4 linked regions of the Caenorhabditis elegans genome follow. The protein of the gene in region 1 purifies or fractionates together with the protein of each later gene. This does not show direct contact. Each region holds a gene or a part of one and is shown in the gene's direction. Other genes may lie near its edges.

Region 1 (6,274 bases):
TATCTACAAAACTCGTGGGAAATTTATTTTGAGCGGTGTCACACGAATTTTGATAAGAGGCACCAGTTGGAGAACATATGTGACATTAAACTAATTAAAAATAATTTACTTGCCATTCTAGGTCGAATGGTGAGGCGTTGCGTTTTTTCTGTCAAAATATTGAAATGCTAAAAAAGCGATTTGGGATTGGGTTTAATTCCATTTCACTAAACGGCAAAAATTGCTTATGCCAATATTCTGATGATAATGAAAAAGGTCTTCCTGCTGGACCTCTGAAAAATGCCAACATCTCATTTTCTAAAATATCGTGTTTTCTCTAATAGACTTGCTCTACTTTAACGGATTATATATGAGGTGTCTTAAAATTTATCAAAAAACGTTATACTGCAAAAAACGTAGAGAAACATTTTTCACGTGTTTTGTCAATTGAGAATTTTTGGTGAGCACGTAGAAACCAGAGATGTAGGCTGTCAGAGTAGAACAAGGGTACATGTCTAATAGGGAAATACGATTTATGGTGCCACAATAAGTATGTAGAGCTGGTCCTTTCATCATTAAAAAAATTCTATGCTTTTCAGGTTTGCGACGCATTCGTAAAATTGATAGAATCAATTAATCGTTTTGCTTCAAGAATATCAAAATATCAATTTCTCAAAACTATAATAAGCAGTTTATTTTATTGGTTCAATTGAGTATATTTTTTCGAGTTAATTTTTTCATTAATAATTTTTCAATAATAATTTCATTAATCAATAATATTTTTGAGTAATCAATCGCTGAGAGGAAAATTTTCAAATTTTATGCCAAAAAGTTTCTGAACCGAAACTGTTGCAATATTTATACGTTCAAGTGCAAAATAAATATTAAATGGTATACGGAGATAACAATTTCCTATAAAATAGAATAACTTGAGACTATCAAAGGTAATTTAAGAAACATTTGAATGAATCTATTTCTGAGAGAGCCGACAAGCTTATGCCAAAGACAAAAGAGATAACACGCGTGCCGCAAAAATCATATTCAGGAAGTCCTTGGTCGTTTTGACTGGAGTCACCACTAATGTCAATAATCACTAAGCAAACTATAGTACTTACATAAGTGCGCAAATTGTGCAGAAAGAGGAAGAGACAGTGAGAGCATCTCTCTCTCTCTTCCAAAACTCCAGCAATGAGCAGTTGCTCGTAGAAAGAAGAACTGGTCACAAGGCACCGGTCGGGAGACGCGGTGAAGTGGTTTGCCGGACGGATGAAATTGTCAGGAAGAAGGAAGAAAACGATGAGAAGGAGGGGGAAGTGATAAATATTGCGTGGACAGATGTTCTCGATCTGTATGTGCATACTCGTGAGTGGACATTTGAAACGTGTTGAAGAGAAATAGAGAATGACACAAAGAGGATTGAGTAACATAAACAGGATTTGCATTTACAATTAGACCGTTGTTTCTTTCTATCTCTTTAGGTTATTTAGGACTCATACTGTCCGTTTGGTTTCCAAAATCAATTCACCTTTGAAAAAAATTGTTTCTCTATCAGAGAGCAGTAAAAAATGAATATTGAATCTATGAAGGTGCAATAAAAATAGGTAATCAAAGTCGTAATCGAAAACATATTTCGTAGCCAATATTGAGAGCAACACAACTTGATATTTTGGAGTGATCATACCATGGAGACTGTAATTGAGATAGTGCGAGTTTAGAATTTTTTTCTAGAACTTTCTTCCATTTTCTCCGTCAGTCATTCGAACCAGTAATACCAAAATTGTTCCGAGACAACACAAATTGCTCATTTATTTATGAGGGCTCTAAAGCAACTATACAACTTTGGAGACATCCAAAAAAAGATTCATCGGCATCACACCACACCTCTTAGCAACAGGACAACAAAGCAAAAAAACGAGAAAAAAGAAAGAAAAAAAACGAGAGAGCAACAATTTTTAGTTGCTTTTTTGTTATATCCCCACTCACAAAAACGACATAAGATGCCTCATAGATTATTACTGTACTGTATTGTTATATTACTGGAAGTGAATTTAGTGATAGGATGCATTTGGCCTGAAGTAGATGCTCTCTTCATTTTAGATTCAACACCACAAATAACATCCTTCCAGCATCGCGCGGAGATTGACTTTTTGAGACAGGTTGGTTCCAAATTTAATTAAATAGAATTATGATCTATAACTTTTTACAGGTAATGTCCACTATGAAAATGGGATCTTCGAAAGTCGCAATGGCTCAGTTTACACCTTGGTCTAGAATTGAGTGGAGTCTTGCTAACTCGACATACCCAGAATCAAAAGTTCAAGAAGCACCATATTGTCCATGTGAATTAGAAACTTGTCCAACTACGAGTATAAATGCATTAACAAGATCTACAATGAATACAGCAAATAGGAAATCAGTTCCAGACGTGATTCTGGTCATTTCTAACAGTTATCAGCCATTGATAGAAGTGGTAAGTGTTAGCGTTGTCCCGGACTATGAAATTAAAAAAATCGGCTAACGACTTACTCATTATTTTGTAGTTTTACATATTTTTCCTACTTGGAACTTGGAGCAACTGTTTTCCAAAAATACTAACTTGGCTCAGAAGTTGGCAAGACTTGGCCAAGTGTTGCAAACTTCTGAACTAATTGTAAGATAATATTTTTTGGCCAAATTGCTTTAAACAAAAAGTTGCGCCAAATGCCTATTATAATCAGAACAGCTACGTTTAGTTTGCCGTTAAGGAAGCTATCGCAAATGAAGTTACGAGTCACGATGTGGTAGGTCGCCTTCTAGGCGAATTTCGCCTGCATGTAGGCAGTGCCTACTAAGCACTCGATTTATGATACTTTGGAAATTTATGAGAATTCTAGCAGTTAGACCGTTCCTCAAAACTCATTCCTGATTTTCCAGCTTCCAAACGAGCCACTCATCTCGCCTACGTCACCACTCCATGTTTTTTACGTGGTTATCGGCTCAAATATGCATGTTTCTCGATTTGAACCATCGGCGCACACAGTTGGAATCAAAGTCACAGATTTTGAACATCTTCCTCATTTGGTTGCTCCATTGTGCCAGAGTGTGAATGCTTATATTAAAGGTCAGTTATTTGAAATAAACATGTTTATGCTGTGTCGTGCCCCAAAAAGATATATCATTTCTGCTAATAATGGTAACTTTATTAAAATCTGAAGTTCATGTGTTTTTCTAGACTGACTATTAGGAAATTACCATTCCTCACCTTATATTCCTAGTTGAAGCTCAATATCAATCGAAAAATAAAATCTGATCGTGGAATAGTATGATAAAAATCTATTATCTCTTTTCATTTCGTAACATTTTCCAAATCTAGACATCTCCTCGCTTTCCTATTTTTTAGTGTTTGGTGTCATCTTTTTCTACGAGCCTGTTTCTCTTTTTCCAAAGAGCCCATCGCGTTGTCATGGGTGTCCAAAGTCGCAATAGTGAGACGGAAGGCATTCCTTTTTGACCACCCGACATATACGATTTGTATTTTTTCTTTTAAATCTAACTGAAAGTTTTATGGATGAGTAAAATAATTGCTGATGTTTCGTGGTGGAACTTTTTGAATTGGAACTCCACTAGTTGTCATCGTCAAAACGCCGAACAGACAGTGTTCTGGACAGTTCCATGTAAGTTTAGATAACGCTGGGTGGTTCTCATTCAGAAAATGTATTAAATATTTATAATAACTAGAAGGAATATATTTGAGAATTTACTAAAATAATTCCAGTCTGTAGACTGACAATTTCGAGAATAAACGCTTGGCACATATCTGACTTCCTACAGGCCTACCTACAGTCTGTTTTCTGCAATTTATTGTGGGCTCAGGTGTTAAGAATTTACCCAAAAACGAGGAATTGATTATAAGTTTTTTGGCAGTAGGCACAGACGTAGGCTCGAGAGAGGCGAAGGTCGCCTTGGAACAGGTGGAAGATAATTTGCATGCCTACGTTTATTCAACGTATTATCTGTTTTTCAGGCTCTTCATCTACTCGATTCGGTCCACTCTGTTGGATTATTATTGCTTCTATTTTATTTTTTGCTATTATCCTGACAGCTCTATTGGCCTACGCAATTTACAGCTACCACGAAGAGAGTTAGTTTTCTTAATTTTTTCTAAAATTTCACATAATGCAAACATTTTTTGTTTGTACCACAAAACTTCAGATCGCCGCTTGCGTCACCGAGTAACAGAGTCGGAGAGGCAACTTCGGAAACAAAACGAATATTTCACTTCTCAACTTCATACCGAGATGCAGAAACAGATAACATATGGAGAAAAGCACGCGGAGGAGATGAAGAAGCAACAGGATATGATGCAAGCTCAGTTCGATCGTCAGCTAGATATGGCCTACCAGCAAGGATCCAAAATTCAAATTTTACCGCCATTCAATCAAAATCCACATTTCCACGATCATTCGGAGCATACAGGAAAGGAAAGCTTTTGAGTGTTTCTTTTACAAATTCTCATATACATTTCAGGAGGACGAGGAAAAGAGCACAGAAGAGACTCCGGTATTGCGTCACCAAGAACTCCGAGAGATGTAGAGATTCAGGTGACTCCTATTCCAAGTCCTGTGCATAATGGAAGTGATGGGAAAGATGATGCAACTTCTTCTGGAACACCAGAAAGTATTGAAAGTTCGGGCAGTGATGTCACTGAAACGACTGAAGATGATTTGGAAGAGTTGAATCGAAGAACACACTTACCAAGAGACCATCCAGCAAGAAAGCTTCTTCCAATTGACTTGATGTTCTTAGTGGATACTTCAAGCAGTATAGGGATAAACAACTTTGATATTGTAGGTTTAAGTACTTTAAAATCAGGTTTGCAGTTCAAATTTTCAGCAAAAGAACTTCATTTGTGAAATACTGAAAGATGTTGATATTGCTCCCGGAAGATCTAGAATAGCAATGATTCAATATTCTCAAGATCCGAGTGTCGTATTCGGCTTCGATCAATACTATTCGTATGAAAGTGTTCGTCGAGGCGTGATGAGACTTTCCTATACCGGAGGAGCAACAATGCTATCGAAGGCGTTGGCTTTTGCGGGTGGAATAATGTATCATGAGCAGAACTTGAAGAAGACCACGAAAAAGCATCAGTACTTACCAACTCCCAAACATGACAGACTTCAGGTAAATTTGTATTGTGTCCGTTGTATTGCTTTTATTTTGAAACAAGAAAAAAAGTTCAATTAAAATAGCCATCAATCTTTTGTGATTTCGTAATTTTGTAGATAGTAAATTTTGAAAGTGTTCAAACAACTAATGCCAAAATGTCAATAAAACTACATGTATGGTTTAATTTTTTTGAATAAAGATTTTAGAAAAAAGATCATTTAGTCGATCAAAATATTGAGATTTTTAAAAGATTCTCTCTCCTATTCTCAAGTCTTCAAGCTTGAACAAAAAGCCTAATTACAGGTGCTCTGCCTCGTTTCGGACGGCTATTCGGATGATAATGCTGATAAAGAAAGTGTGAATCTTCATGATCATCTTCATGTAAAGATCTTCGCAGTGGTAACCAGATCATTCAATAAAGACAAGCTGGCACCAATCACGAGGTTCGACGGAAGTGTGTTCACCGTGCACCAGAGAGAAAGTGTTGCAATTTGGCTGTGGAGGCAGCAAAGAATATGGGCCGAACATTATAGCGCTTTCATTGAAAAAGAAAAGAAAAGAGGTTCAAGGAGATAAGATTTAACTTGATGCGGTTTTCAAAAAAGATTGTCTTTCATTATAATAATTCACTCAATAAACTGTTCATCGGGATTCATATACCAAAAGTCACATAAAATATTTCAGGTACAAAGCTAACGTTTATTTTTTCGCAAATCTTCCACACAATGGAGATGGTAAGAAGTTTGTTAGGCCGAACGTTTAATTAGTTTCAATAAGAAGATTCTGATTGTGAGCACTATTAAAAATTTTATAATAATAACATTTTTGGTGTCCACAAAACAGGTTCCTGTTTTTAGTTCTTTCCAGCTTTGTCCATTATTCTGTCACATTTTCGTCTCACTTCTCGCCTACGCGACCGTTCATTTACTATTTATTACAACCTTTCCCATTATTCTGTAACGTTTTCCAAGCTTTCATCTGTGTTCTTTTAACTTTCTCTATTACCCCCCAATGTTATCTAATTGCTCTTTCTCACCTAATAAAAAAGAGAAAGTTGGCGTCTTGTTTGGAGCTGCAACTGCAATCTTTGCTTATCAGCTTCTTTTCCTGGTTTCCTGATTGTCAGGTGACCGTCGCGACCGTTAAA
Region 2 (3,671 bases), on another chromosome or scaffold:
TCGATTTTTCTCGATTTTTTCTTCTATATTTGATTTGAAACATTGTTTGTCAATTATGTAACCACTTTTCCGTAAAAAAAAAACTTGAAAACCCTATGGAAAATGTCAGAAATGTCAAAATTGGCCTAAAATCCGCAATTTAATATTTGTTATTAATTTTTTTTCGAAATAACTATTTTAAATAATTGACAAACAATGTTTCAAATCAAATATAGAGAAAAAATCGAGAAAAATCGACGAATTTAGCCAGAAAACGCGACAATATCCAAAATGACGTCATTCATTTGTGATTTTCTCAAAATTGAAAAAATCATAAAAAATTTAGAAAATTTTTTAAAATTTTTTTACAGTTATATTCGGTTATTAGGGTCCATTTTCTGTCATTTAAAGCAAAAAAAAATTTTTAACTCTACTCCACCTTTAAATTAGAGCATCATCACTAACTTTTTCAATGTTTTGATATTTTTACAACTTTAGACGAAGTACAAACTGTTGACCAAGATGGCTGCACTGTATTAAAATGTCCCGCAGGCAAAACTCCAGCTGTCTCTTCTCTTTATGATAAAAGTGAAATACCAGCGCCTATTGATGCTGATGCCGATTATATGACGTTTGTAGGTAAACTCTTTTTCAATCTGAATGCTTAAAATTATTTTAGGGAAGTATAAATAAAGATTCAATGGCCGACATCAACGGAGACATGATTTTTGAATATTTTGGAGCAATGTGTGAAGGCGGTGAATTAATATACACAAATTATCCTGATGGAATAGCGTATGTCAAAGATGGAAACATGGCATATACTGGCCCAGATGCATCGTATAACGGAAAGAAGTCTAAAGTGACTACGATCTATTGGTGGGTCATAAATTTTAAAGTTTCTAGGAAAATTTCAAGTTAGATGTGAGAATAAGGTTTTTTTTAACCGCGAAAACAATTAGAATAAAATTTTTGTTTAAAACTGGAAAGTCTTTAAGTTAGTTTCACAACTCTTATCTCATTTTTGTTGTATTTATTGTTTCAGCACTGATCAAGTGTAAATTGGATGAGGATTGAATTAACAATTGATACATCGTATTTCTCATTTGAATAAAACGATTTGATTTAAAAAAAAATAGCATTGATTTTTACACATTCGCGGAATACAATAATCGACACCCCAAGGGTTGAATATGACCGAGAAATGATACTCAAGACGTAAGAAGTTGAGGAGGATGTATAATAAAAATATCACACAAACCAGACAAGTTTGGGCAAGAAATAGCTTGAAAGGGATCTAATTTAGACGTGTCAAGAACGGTTTTTGGCTGACTTTCTCGAAAACGTTATGGCGGTTCAAAGTTTTTATCTGGATAATGTCTTATTTCTACTGATATACTTCTTGAAATATCTGAACTATCTGGTTTAATTTTCTAAACTCTTATCAGTTAGAATTCTAAGAGACCAGTGTAATTATCATATAATGTACCTGCAAATGGATGCAAAATGGATGCTAATTTCCGGCCACTGTGGAATGATAATCACTTTCTATAAAAATTCTGCCAATATCCCAGAAGAACAAGGGCGATGTACTTCAAAATGTACTTTTTCATGTTTATGACTCTGTGTTTGTTTGGCCACGTGGAAGCCAAATGTATTGCCAACACACCATCAACTGTGAGTTTAATGATTTCATAAAAATGTTATTTTAGAACTAACTTCTTAATAAGTATTTTCAAATATGTACGCCTAGTTTTGACGAATGCATAGTTCGACTAAATTGACTAATTTGCTCTTTTTACTTTCGCCATTCCCTTCTCGAAAGTCGATTCGTATTCATTAGCCCATCCGTCTTTATGACATAATTTATTCCTTTTCCAAACCCAAGACCGCTTTATCGAGGTGTTATTCGGGCTTTTATTACTTCTTTTAATGCTTTACGCATAGGAATAGGAATGGATTAGTAGTTAAAATCATTATATCAAAGTTTTCCTCCCTACTTCTCGTTTTATTATGAATACTGTAACGTCATGTTCCCTTCTGTTATGCTTGATGGTAATAACAGAAAGTTGCATGCGAACAGTTCCACCGGATGAAGCCTATATTCCTGTCACCATGGCTCCTGATGTATGTGATTTTTTTCTGAATTTAAACTGCTATGGAAGCGCTTCCAATATTCCAATTTTCTTAAAGAATTGTCATTCGGAAATCTGTTAAAAAATCAGTTTTAAAAAAAATCAAGTATTTAGGAATGCCTGGACATCAAAACTTCGCCGTGTGGAGATTTGGAATCGTTGTTTGAAAGTAAGTCCATTATCCATTTTCGATTTTCTCTCTCCATTATCGTTTTCTCTCTCACACCCGTGGAGCACGTTGAGAAAGACGGCTGCGAAGTGTTAACTTGTCCCGATAACCAAGTGTTTCTTGCACTCTCTTCTTTTGATAAAAGTGAAGTACCACGGCCATCTGAAGTGCCGGAAACCCAATCATTTGTGAGTGAAAGGATAATATCTTTCATCGGAAAAGTATGAAACAATTTATAGCAAATCACCTCAAAATTGACGGGAACCGATGGTGAGAGTATAACTGACCTTTTGGGAATCATTTGTGATGGCGATAAATGGATGATCACGAAATATCCAATTGGATTTGCTGCACCTCCTGCTGGTTTAATTGGTGCAGATGGTTCGATGGATGGGAAAAAATCTGAAGTTTTAAAGTTGGCGTGGTAAGTGGGGGCCTATTTAAAAATTATGATTGTTACTGAGAATTTCAAAAGATTGAAGTAAACTTAGCGTTTTATTCAGTTGAAAACAGTAGTTGTACATATGCAAACTGTTTTGTCTTGAAGAAAAAAACAAAAAAAATTGTAAAATTGTGTTACAAACCTTGAGGTTTGTCTACACTTTGCAGTGAGTTGTTGGGGATTAGCTTGATTTAGAATTAGCTAGATATAGATATTAGCTAGATTTAGGAATCTATAAAAAGTAAACTACACACTGTTATTATGTGGACTTTCAAGTTATTTCCATAGTATTTTTTTTTTGTTTCAGTGCTGATATTTCCGGATAGGTCTATGGATGGAGAACAAGTTACTGGATTATTCATTTACATTATTCTTGTTCTGCGAATAAACAATTTTTGAAACATGTATAATTTTGTGTACAGACCAAAAATGAATATATGTTAAAAAATAAGTTAGCAAAAAGTGATGTCAATTTGCATTCCCGGGTGAAACGGTACAACTCACAATTAGAACAATACATAAATGTATTGAAAAGCATTCCAAATTTTCATCTCGTGATACATGAGCAGTGTTCTAGAGAACACAAAAATATAAGAGTTGAATTTTTTCCCCCGTTTCAGCGACTTTTTATTTATTTCCTTTGTCTTATACAATACTTTCCAGCATGAATTTTTCATACTGCAGACGGGATCATTTATCGTTTTATGACTTGCCTAAAACGCGGATCAAGCTGGCTCTAAAAATAGTGGCTCATAAATTATTTAAGATCTACTAATTTAATTTGAGTCTAGTTTGCCACCTCATGAATTGGAGGAAGAATGCGAAGTTACATTTGTAAATGATATTTATATCGTATTTCTCCTTTGATTAAAACAATTTATTTTGAATAAAGAGTATTAGTTCTTACACAATACAGGAATGCAATAATCGACTTTTTATTTGCCAT
Region 3 (2,334 bases), 9.3 Mb from region 1:
CAAGAACTCGCCATTGTCGATGAATTTGGAGTCCCCGTGCCAACTGGAGCTAAAGGAGAGCTCTGGTCTCGTGGCTACTCGACTATGCTCGGCTACTGGGCCGACCACGACAAGACCAACTTGGCAATTACACGTGATCGCTGGTACAAATCTGGAGATACCGCCACGATGAACGAGGATGGAACTATCAATATTGTCGGTAGAACTCGTGACATGATTGTGAAGGGTGGTGAGAACGTCTATCCGACCGAAATCGAGCAGTTCTTGCATAAGTTGGACTATGTCGCTGATGCTCATGTAAGTTTGGGAGCTTCTATCTTTGCTCTTGGGGGTCCAATCAAAAAGTTTATTAAAATATCAAAAAGTTTATTAAAATAATCTACAGAAAATTCTCTACATTTACTCAGTTGGCAACTTTTTGATACTTGTAACAACTGGCGAGTTATTCTCGTTTAAATCAAGGGCACCATGACTACTTATGGCCTGAACTTCAAACTTATGGCCTAACTTTTCAACAAAAAAATTCCAGGTCGTCGGTGTGCCAGATGACAGGTACGGAGAGAACATCTGCGCCTGGGTGCGTCTTCGCGTTGAGGATGAAGGAAAGATCACCGCGGAGCACATTAAGAAGGCTTGTAAGAGAGGAGTAAGTTATTAATCCATTATTTTAAAATATACAGTCGAAATTTCCAGATGGCTCACTACAAGGTTCCAAAGTACGTGCTCATCAAAAAGGAGTCCGAATTCCCTCTCACAATTTCCGGAAAAGTCAAGAAATTCGAAATCCAAAAGATTTCCAAAGAGCTGTTGGGTCTCGGAACTGTCAAGTCTCACTTCACAGAAGCTGTCGACAATTAAAATCGGGTTGAACATATTTCCTATATTTTAAGTTGCCTTTTCGCTGGGATTTCCTTGCTTTTTACGGTCTAACCGCTATAATTGTAATAGTGACATATTTAACCGGGTTTTTATGTACTCTTCCGTGTATTTGCCATGTATTTAATTGTGAGACTTGTACAGAAATTGCGATTTTCTCTGAATAAATAGCTTTAAAATTCAAAATTCCCTCCAAAAGTGTACAACGACACTCCGAAATGACGCATAGTCGCCTTGCTTACCGTAAATCGACACACATTTTTTTAAAATCGAAAACATTTTTTTGTTGGATTTTCTTCGTTTTCCCTCGATTTTCTTGGAATTTTGTGAGTTTTTATTGTTAAAATATTTTAAAATTGCATTAATGGTATTGTTTTAACTGTATTTTTCATATGATTTTCGATTATTCCAGCAAAATTCTTGTAGAAACGACTTTTCATCAAAATTTTCTAAAATCGATTGGAAATTAACACGAATTTTACTGAAAATGAAATTTATGTGCAAATTACCGGTGAATTCAGCGAGAAAACATCAAAAATTCTGGAAAAATAGGCTTTGAAAAAATTTTTGTGAGGAAAAATTTTAAAAAAACTTGATAAATATCATCTTTTCCCCTCATTTTTCCTGTTTTTCAGCAATTCCTCTCAAATTTTACCCGATTTTCTTTCCAGAAACCATGGCAACCTCAACATCCACCAACCCAAACACACTTCTCCCACTGGAGCTCATTGACAAGTGCATCGGCTCGAAAATCTGGGTGATAATGAAGAACGACAAGGAGATCGTCGGCACTCTGACAGGCTTCGATGACTACGTGAACATGGTTCTGGAGGACGTCGTCGAATACGAGAACACCGCCGACGGCAAGCGAATGACCAAGTTGGACACGATTCTTCTCAACGGAAATCACATCACGATGCTCGTGCCGGGAGGAGAAGGACCAGAGATTTAATTGATATCTGTGAATATTGTGATTTTCTAATACTTTCTATTTTGCCACGAATCTCTCCGATTTTGAAATAAAAATTGAAGGAAATTTTGGAAAATTTTATAACAGGAACAAAACAGAATGAAGAAGCAAAAAGAAAACAATTTTTTTTAAATCTGTTTTTTCAGCATTTTTCTCTTTTTTTTCTTATCACTTAACAAGTACTTGTACATCTTGCAGGTCTTGTAGGATCATATTCAGCACGTGTTGAGAATAGATAGCAGCTTTCTGATGCTCTAAAAAGGCTTAATTGTTCAGATCGTCCCTGGAAATAATTTTTCGAATTCTGCTCGAGCTGAAAATACAAAAATAATCGCAGAATCGCCCAAAATACGTGAAAAAGTGAAAATACTTATCGTGTTTGATAGCAACCTTAATTTGTCCTGTTAAATGACAAAATTCTTAAGTTGAACTGTATTTATTTTAAGTTTTCTGCCAATTTTTTCCAAAAAATCAAAAAAGTTTCCCGA
Region 4 (7,548 bases), on another chromosome or scaffold:
TTCTCCCACATTTTAAAACTCTTCTTGGTTTTGACCCAGTCAAAGTTTCGTTCCAAGTTTTACAAACTTCTCGGGATGCCCAACCATCCCTATCTCATACGGTCAATCGACCTCCCCCTCTCTCTTTGCCTCTCATCCTGCGTTCCTTTTTAATCTATGCTCCCTCTCCCTCCCACTACCTACTATCTATATACCTGTGTCCCGCGCGCGCACAGTTTCACATTCTCAATTTTTCTAACCACCTGCGTGTCTGCATATCCGCCACTGTCTCGCCGCACCAACACTGTCACAGTTGAGTTGAGTTTGAGTCGTCTTCCGACACCCAGTCAGTTTCGGTTCGACTTTGGCGGGCGGCGGGCGGCAATACCTATTTCTCTCTGCTACTGCCGTATAGTTTGCTTGCACTGCTCTCTCTCTCTCTCTCTCTCACCGCTTCTCTTTCTCCCTCTTCCACTCATTCCCGAGTCTCTTCCTTTTATTCCCGCTCGTCTTTTATGGAAAAGAAAGGTTGGAGTATATACAAAAGGTGTCCTGGCGTCTGTATTTCTGTCTCTCGTTCCGATCTTTTTTCATCCCCCCTCCTTCACTACTCTTGTGTGTGCGCGTACAGACGGGCCGTGGGCCGGTAGGGGGCCACTTGTTGAAAATACTGTTTTTGTCGGACGGAAAAGAAGGACACGATTGTGTAAGAGAGAGAGTGAGGTTTTTTTTGTCTCTGTTTGTATAAAATGCGGTCAAAAATTGAAGAGTATAATTATCAATTATTGATCGGATTATCTTAATTTAAAATTCTTCTAAAATTCTTGCCCACTCAATTTTAGATAGCGCTCAGCACTAGACATCATATGCCCTTCTATGGTTTTTGTTTCAGAAACTATTTTCAATCCATGTAGCTTCTTGAAATCACTGTATTTCCTTGTAACTTTATTATTTATCACAGGGCTTGTCAACTTTGCCATTTTTCCTGAACTTGTTTGTACGAAGTAGGTGTAGGAAATCTTAAATTCGGCGGTCAAATTGATCAAACTTCATTGTATTCAAAGCGCTTAAAAAGAGTCATTCTTCATTTAAAATTAGAATAACAAACCTGTTGGAGTTTTTAGCATTGAATTTGTATTCGAATGTTATTGTTTTTACAGTTTTTTATACCAGGATTTTCTATATTCCAGGTTTTTCTATACAAATGACAAATCTTTTGAAAAAATAAGATTCAACAATTTTTAATCTAGAATGTTTCCTATTCTCTTCAAAGACACTGTTTTCCTTGTTACTCATTGCTTTCGGTTAGTCAGTATAAACACACATTTTCAGTCAAAATAAATTTTTCGGAAAAATGAAAAACTACAAATATTTACCCGCATTCCTGAAAAGCTCAAAACGTTTTATTTGCAATTTTTTGCTGTTTTATCCAGTTTCTAATATCTAGAAATGTGATCTCTCAATACTTATGCATTTTCCACTTGAATTACCCTTTTGACCTGCTTTCCCAAAACAACTCTCAAATTTTCAATGTATTTCATTTTATGACCGGCATTTTTTAATTCACATAAAATATGCATGAAACGGAGCTCTGAACCTATTTTGTACTTTAAGTGTTTTTTTTAAAGTACATGATTGAATCAGATAGCATTCATTTAGTTTCAAAAGCAACAAAAAAAATATTATTTACCGTCAAAGTTTATCATGCATTTTTACCACTGAATCACTTTCTCTTGCTTTCCCTCCTACACTTCTCCCGTTTTAGTGTAGCCATTTTTTTCCATTTTTTTCTTCTCGCATCTTACATATTTGTATGTGAACAAACCGTCATGTGTTCGCGCTTTTTTTTACTGCACTTTCTCTATCCGTCAACATTGATAATCACAACATATGTTCAACCCCGATTTTTCCAGAGGTCGCGTTGTATAAAAGGAGGTGTGACTGCATTCGCCGTCGCTTCACCTTTCTTTTTAGCCACCATGGCGTTTTTGAATAAAGTCAAAAACTTGTTTCGTGCCAATCAAGCGGAGAAGAAGTTACCTAGTTACATTTATGTGAGTTCACAAGTTTTTTTCAAATGAAAACCAAGATTCCAATAATTCAGGACAATGTGAACCCACGCGATCACTGGAACATTATTGGAGAGCTTGGCGATGGAGCATTTGGAAAAGTTGAAAAAGCAGTGTCACGGACGGATCCCAAACTTTTTGCCGCATCAAAGTCTATTGAAATTCAAGAAGGCGAAGAACTGGAAGATTTCCTTGTTGAAATCGAAATTCTCAGCGAATGCAAGGGTCATCCTGTTATGTTAGGACTCTATTCTACTTATTTTTTTGAAAATAAACTGACGGTGAGTTTCTGAATAAGGTTTTGGTCCAAACATGTGTAAAGTTTTAAGTTTGAAATTAGAATGAAAGAGCATTTCCTTGTGTAGTACTATTTTCATATCCCATTTAGTGTACTCTCATCGATTCTTAGAATTTTTGCGCGCTGGAACTTTTCCAGAAAATATAAAGCAACTAATATTAATATCACAAAATAGTGAGGGTTATACTGATTATCCCTAACCTTTTAATTGTTCATCGTTTCCAGATGCTTCTCGAGTTTTGTGGAGGTGGTGCTGTTGACAACATCATTGTCGAGCTGGGACATGTACTCAAGGAAGATCAAATCCGATACATCGGATACTACGTGTGTGATGCACTCAAGTGGCTACACTCCCAGAATGTGATTCACCGTGATCTGAAAGCTGGCAACATTTTGCTCACCCAAGACGGTCAGGTTCGACTTGCCGATTTTGGAGTTTCGGCGAAGTTGAAGAGTGAACGTGAAAAGAGAGACACATTTATTGGCACACCGTATTGGTAAGTAACATGTATATTAAAATCACGGTTTAAAACTGAAAAAATTATTCTTTCCAGGATGGCTCCGGAAGTTATGGCTTGCGAGACTTTCAAGGATCAGCCATACGATTGTATTTCGGATATCTGGTCTTTTGGAATCACACTCATTGAAATGGCCCAAGGAGAGCCCCCGCATTCAGACGTTTCTGTTATGAGAGTTATTATCAAAGTGCAGAAATCAGAGCCGCCAACGCTTCTCCAACCATCTCACTGGACCCGGTCCTTCAGTGACATTCTCACACGATGCCTTGTCAAGGATCCCAGAAATCGTCCACCGGCAGCTGAAATCTTCAAACATCAGTGGTTCCAAAATGCTCCATCAAAACGAAAAATGATTATGGATCTACTCGCCGAAATGTACGCAGATGTTCAAGAAGAAGTTGTCATTGATGGTGATGAGGAATCAGTGGCAGGATCCGATGAGATTTCTCAACGTCGTGGTGATAGCTGGAGTTCGGCTTCTGATAGCCCTCGACCGGCTACTAGTGATGGGTTCAAAGTTCCCATTGTATCGGTACCCATCATTGAGACACCTCCACCAGATACTCCTCACAAAAAGAGAGCTGCTCCGCCACCACCACAAGAAGTCAATGCTCATCGGCAGTCGCCAGTAGTGAATGGGAAACCAGCAGAGAATTCGAGTTTTGCAGAGGTTTGTCGTTATACATTTGTAGATTGTGTTACTAGCACAGAGAAACTGAATTCATGCTCTGGCATGTAATTTCCTACAATAATCTTTAAAACTTTCAGTTCTCCTTCTCTAACAGCAACACATCATCAGAAGGAACTGCCGAGTTCTCCACACCATCTACCAACAAGAGTAGTGCGCAACTCTCCACGCCAGCAGTTCTTAGCCTCAATACCAGCGGCAGTCCTTCATCTGCCAACGAGTTTGTCAGTCCACGCAGAGAAGCGCTCAGTATTCTCGATGAGCTTACCACCACATTGGACGACGAGCAAGGATCAACATTTTTCAACTCACCACGTTCAAGTGCGTCGCCCCGTCAATCTCCACGTCGATCACCACACGAATCTCCGCGCCATTCTCCACGCAATTCCCCACAAAAGGAGCAATTGTTTGAGCATTCGATTCGTGACACGATAATGGCTAGCCGTAGCAGACCATCGCTAAGTCCACAGTTGAGACGTAAGAATTTGAATAGGACTTTGATTATTAATTGCATAACAAAACAACTCTACCAACTAAACTATTTCAGAACTCTCACCTTCGGAGTCAGCATCTTCTTTCGACGAAAGTGTTAATTTATCCTTCCACAAGTTGGAGCCCGCGGAGCATGCTGGATACGTGATGGCACATCAGCAAATGGAAAAGACTACAGCTCAGTTGAACGAACGTGCAAATGCTGTGAGCAATATTAGAACTCAAATGGAAGAGAAAATTGCTGACAGCTCTAATTCGAAGCAACGACCAATCAGTCAACCAATCACGGAAATTCCAGAAGGTTTGTATTGAAATATGTATAAGCAAAAAAACATACTGCACTCATGTTTAATTATTATCGTTTCGAGACCCATACCCCTTCAAATCTCAATTTTAAATCATTTCAGGAATTGTTGCCCAGAAAAAAGTCAGCAGAGAGGAAGCGGAGGCGGTTCAACACTCAAATGCACTCTTTAAGAAACCATCTCAAGATATGTCAGCCAGTTTGACAGTACGGGACATGGCTCAACAAAAGACGGAACTTAGAGTGTCATCAGCCTCAACTCCAACAAAAACTAGAGCTTCTCCTCCAAAACGCGCCGAATCAAATCAATCTGTGAGGACGAGTGGTTCATCAAACTCTGTTGTTCAACACTCTGCATCATCATCGACAGATTATGTCCCAACATCAGTGTCCGCCGTGCCAGAATACTTTGATGGACCAAGACGCAATGGCGAGCAGAAAGTCCCACCACCCGAGCCGCCAGTAGACTATGAAGGAAATGCTAAAGAGAATGCAGCTCCTTCGCCTGTGCCAGTTCCTAAAATCTCCCAAAAACCTGTACCAACTCCGTCAACATCTACAGATGTTCAGAAGACAAACTCAAACGTTGCTCCGAGACCGCTTGGCGGGAGAAAAGATGGAAATCGGCAGACAATTACTAAAAAGACTAGGACGTATATGATTGATGGTGTTCAAGTCACATCTACCACAGTTCATGTGTTGGGTGTTAAGGATGATAAAGTACAAAGGTATACCTTCTATTAAATTTTACTTAAATGCTGAAAATTTAATGTGTGAGCAAAATGCGAAAATGACAATTCAATTTTAAAAAAGTTGAAAACCAAATCCCGCCACTAACGTTCTGATAGTTTCAGAAAGCAACAACTCCACGATCTGAGACGCCTTCAACGTGACGAAGCCCGTCAAAAGCAAGAACTCCAGGCCGAGGGAATCAAGCTTGTCGAAGAGCAAGCCAGAAAGTTCACATCGGAGCAAACAAACTTGACACGAACATCGGAACTAGAGATGGATGCTATGGAACGCCGTCAACGAAAAGAGATTGAAGACACTGAAGGTGCCCAGGAGCATGAACTACGAAATGCGCAAAAGCGTCTCCGAATCGAACAGGAGAAGGATATGCGAGCGTTCAAAGAGCGTCTGAAGCAAGAAATGAAGATATTTAAGCAAGAGTTGACGATGCTCTCAAAGGTTCAGAGAAAAGATGCGTTGAAGCAACGGAAGGAGCAAATTGAGATTGAGCATCAACTCAAGGAGAAGGACTTTTTGATGCAACTTCAACAGAATGCGGAGGCAATGCTTCAACGAATGGCTGAAAAGCATAAGGAAAGAATGGCATCTATTGAAAAGCAGTTCCTGATGCAGAAGCACAATTTGCTCCGAGCAAAAGAAAATAACATTTGGGAGTTGGAAGATAAGCAAATGAGAGAGAAGTGGGTTTTTCTGTAAATTAGTTTTTCATTAAGCTTTAAATTTTCAGATTTGTACTTCATCGAAAACTATTCAAGGATGAATACTACCTTCTCCGCACACAAATGCTTGCTAGACACCAACGTGAAATGGCTCAAATCGAGAAGATTCATCAAGAAGAGGAAGACGATCTCATCAGAGCACTAACACTCGATCGTAAAAAGCTACCGAAAATGTTGCGCTCTGAGACGAAAACTCGTAGTGTGATGTTCAAAGAGAGCCTGCGAATCAGTGCAGTGGTAAGTACATTTTTTAAAGAACAATATGATTCTATTGAATAAGTATGATTTCAAGAACATGTCAAACGCGGAAATGCAAGAACGAATTCGACGATTCGATGAGCAAGAAGCGTTGCGCATGAGAGCTGCATTGGAAGATCACGATTTGAAGTCGCAGAAGAAGTTGCAAATATTAAAGGAGCGCCACCAGGAAGCGGTATGTCTTTGATTAAAGGAAGGTCAACTAGAATAAGTAAATATTTACAGATCATCGAGCTTGATGAGATGCAGAACGAGAAGCGCAAGCAGTTGCTGGAAAAAGAAAGGAACACGATGAAGGAGCACGAGGCAAAGTATCACGAGATGCGTGAGCTGTGGCAGGAGAATTTGATTGCAAGGAAAACGGTAGGATTTGGCTACTTTTCTGAAAAAGTGTTCGGAGTTTGTAAACGTGCAGAGTTTTAAAAATTTTTTAAAAAGAACCTTACTCGATTACGAGGCATTTTTAAAGACAGCTTAAATTTTAAACATTTTTTTTTGTAACTTGCTGTTGCAATTCCCGAAAACATGTGAATTTTTAAATAATTTCAATTGTATGAAATGCATAATTTATTTTTAATCTATTTGTTTTTACAGGTGCTCGAGGAGAAGTTTGAGGACGAACTCTCAAAGCAGGAAGTGTTCTACGGAATGTCGTACACTTCGTCTCAGGCCTCAACGCTGTCTGGCCGTCACATGCCTTGAACGCTCTATGCTTCTGACTCATTTCTACGTTCCTTTGCTTTATTCCATTTGTCATTCCCATTCAGTTTTTGTCTCCCATCCCAACCAGTGCCTTACCACATTCGACACCTGCCTCGAGTCTCCATTCTTCTCATCCCCGTGGTTTTACTATATACAATCCAACTTTTCTACTTTTTTTTGTTGATCCGAAATGGGTATATTGCTAGTTTATGTGTCTAGATGGGTCATTTTTTAATCAAGTGTCTTAAAATTGTATGCCTTCCCCCCCCCCCCCCCCAAATCCTCACTTCCCAAACATTTCTCTTGTCCCTACGGTTTATTTGAAGATGGCGCCATTCCAATTTGGTTCCTCTTTGTTTTCTCTCACAATTAATCAAAACCCTAGCCCCCCCCCCCTGTTTTGTTACAAATTCTCTCTCCAAAATGCTAATAATTGCGATTTTTGGATCTCCACTCAGTTTTTGTAAATGACTGCTCTCGTTTCTTTTTAATGTAAAACTAGGTTGGGAGGGTTTATTTTAAGGCATGACAACCTTAATAATCTTAACCATACCTGTATGTTAATTAATAATTAGCAAAATCTTCCAACTAGACATTGTTATGTTTTCCTTCCTTACAACAACTTTTTTTCTCATTTCTTTTCCTAATTTATAAAATCTCCTAGATTAGGAGTGTTTCATAGCCACTCTTTTTTTCATACGTTTTATCCCGATTCAACCATCTTACTGTTTTGTTATAAAACATGTTATAAATTTTTTTTTTTTTTTAGCG

What was found.
Region 2: the proteins of F31F7.2 (region 1) and F16G10.2 fractionate together in Caenorhabditis elegans (co-fractionation; one large-scale study listed by BioGRID). This does not show direct contact.
Region 3: the proteins of F31F7.2 (region 1) and lsm-5 fractionate together in Caenorhabditis elegans (co-fractionation; one large-scale study listed by BioGRID). This does not show direct contact.
Region 4: the proteins of F31F7.2 (region 1) and gck-4 fractionate together in Caenorhabditis elegans (co-fractionation; one large-scale study listed by BioGRID). This does not show direct contact.

The regions. Positions count from the first base shown.
Region 1 is NC_003283.11:6,269,145-6,275,418, forward strand, and holds F31F7.2 (VWFA domain-containing protein), read left to right. Parts: upstream 1-1,707; 5' UTR 1,708-1,790; coding exon 1,791-2,135; intron 2,136-2,185; coding exon 2,186-2,449; intron 2,450-2,892; coding exon 2,893-3,079; intron 3,080-3,526; coding exon of another isoform or gene 3,527-3,632; intron 3,633-3,982; coding exon 3,983-4,099; intron 4,100-4,170; coding exon 4,171-4,443; intron 4,444-4,485; coding exon 4,486-4,805; intron 4,806-4,851; coding exon 4,852-5,142; intron 5,143-5,430; coding exon 5,431-5,703; 3' UTR 5,704-5,767; downstream 5,768-6,274.
Region 2 is NC_003280.10:2,373,281-2,376,951, forward strand, and holds F16G10.2 (DUF281 domain-containing protein), read left to right. Parts: upstream 1-1,992; coding exon 1,993-2,106; intron 2,107-2,228; coding exon 2,229-2,471; intron 2,472-2,522; coding exon 2,523-2,707; intron 2,708-3,032; coding exon 3,033-3,051; 3' UTR 3,052-3,131; downstream 3,132-3,671. Other genes in the region: F16G10.3 (Lipoprotein), read left to right, coding at 478-614, 659-858, 1,025-1,040.
Region 3 is NC_003283.11:15,568,828-15,571,161, forward strand, and holds lsm-5 (U6 snRNA-associated Sm-like protein LSm5), read left to right. Parts: upstream 1-1,552; coding exon 1,553-1,828; downstream 1,829-2,334. Other genes in the region: acs-2 (Medium-chain acyl-CoA ligase ACSF2, mitochondrial), read left to right, coding at 1-297, 530-646, 694-858.
Region 4 is NC_003284.9:13,675,302-13,682,849, forward strand, and holds gck-4 (Protein kinase domain-containing protein), read left to right. Parts: upstream 1-1,958; coding exon 1,959-2,033; intron 2,034-2,083; coding exon 2,084-2,329; intron 2,330-2,571; coding exon 2,572-2,843; intron 2,844-2,900; coding exon 2,901-3,534; intron 3,535-3,632; coding exon 3,633-4,029; intron 4,030-4,099; coding exon 4,100-4,345; intron 4,346-4,451; coding exon 4,452-5,076; intron 5,077-5,202; coding exon 5,203-5,778; intron 5,779-5,825; coding exon 5,826-6,054; intron 6,055-6,097; coding exon 6,098-6,250; intron 6,251-6,300; coding exon 6,301-6,438; intron 6,439-6,669; coding exon 6,670-6,777; 3' UTR 6,778-7,039; downstream 7,040-7,548.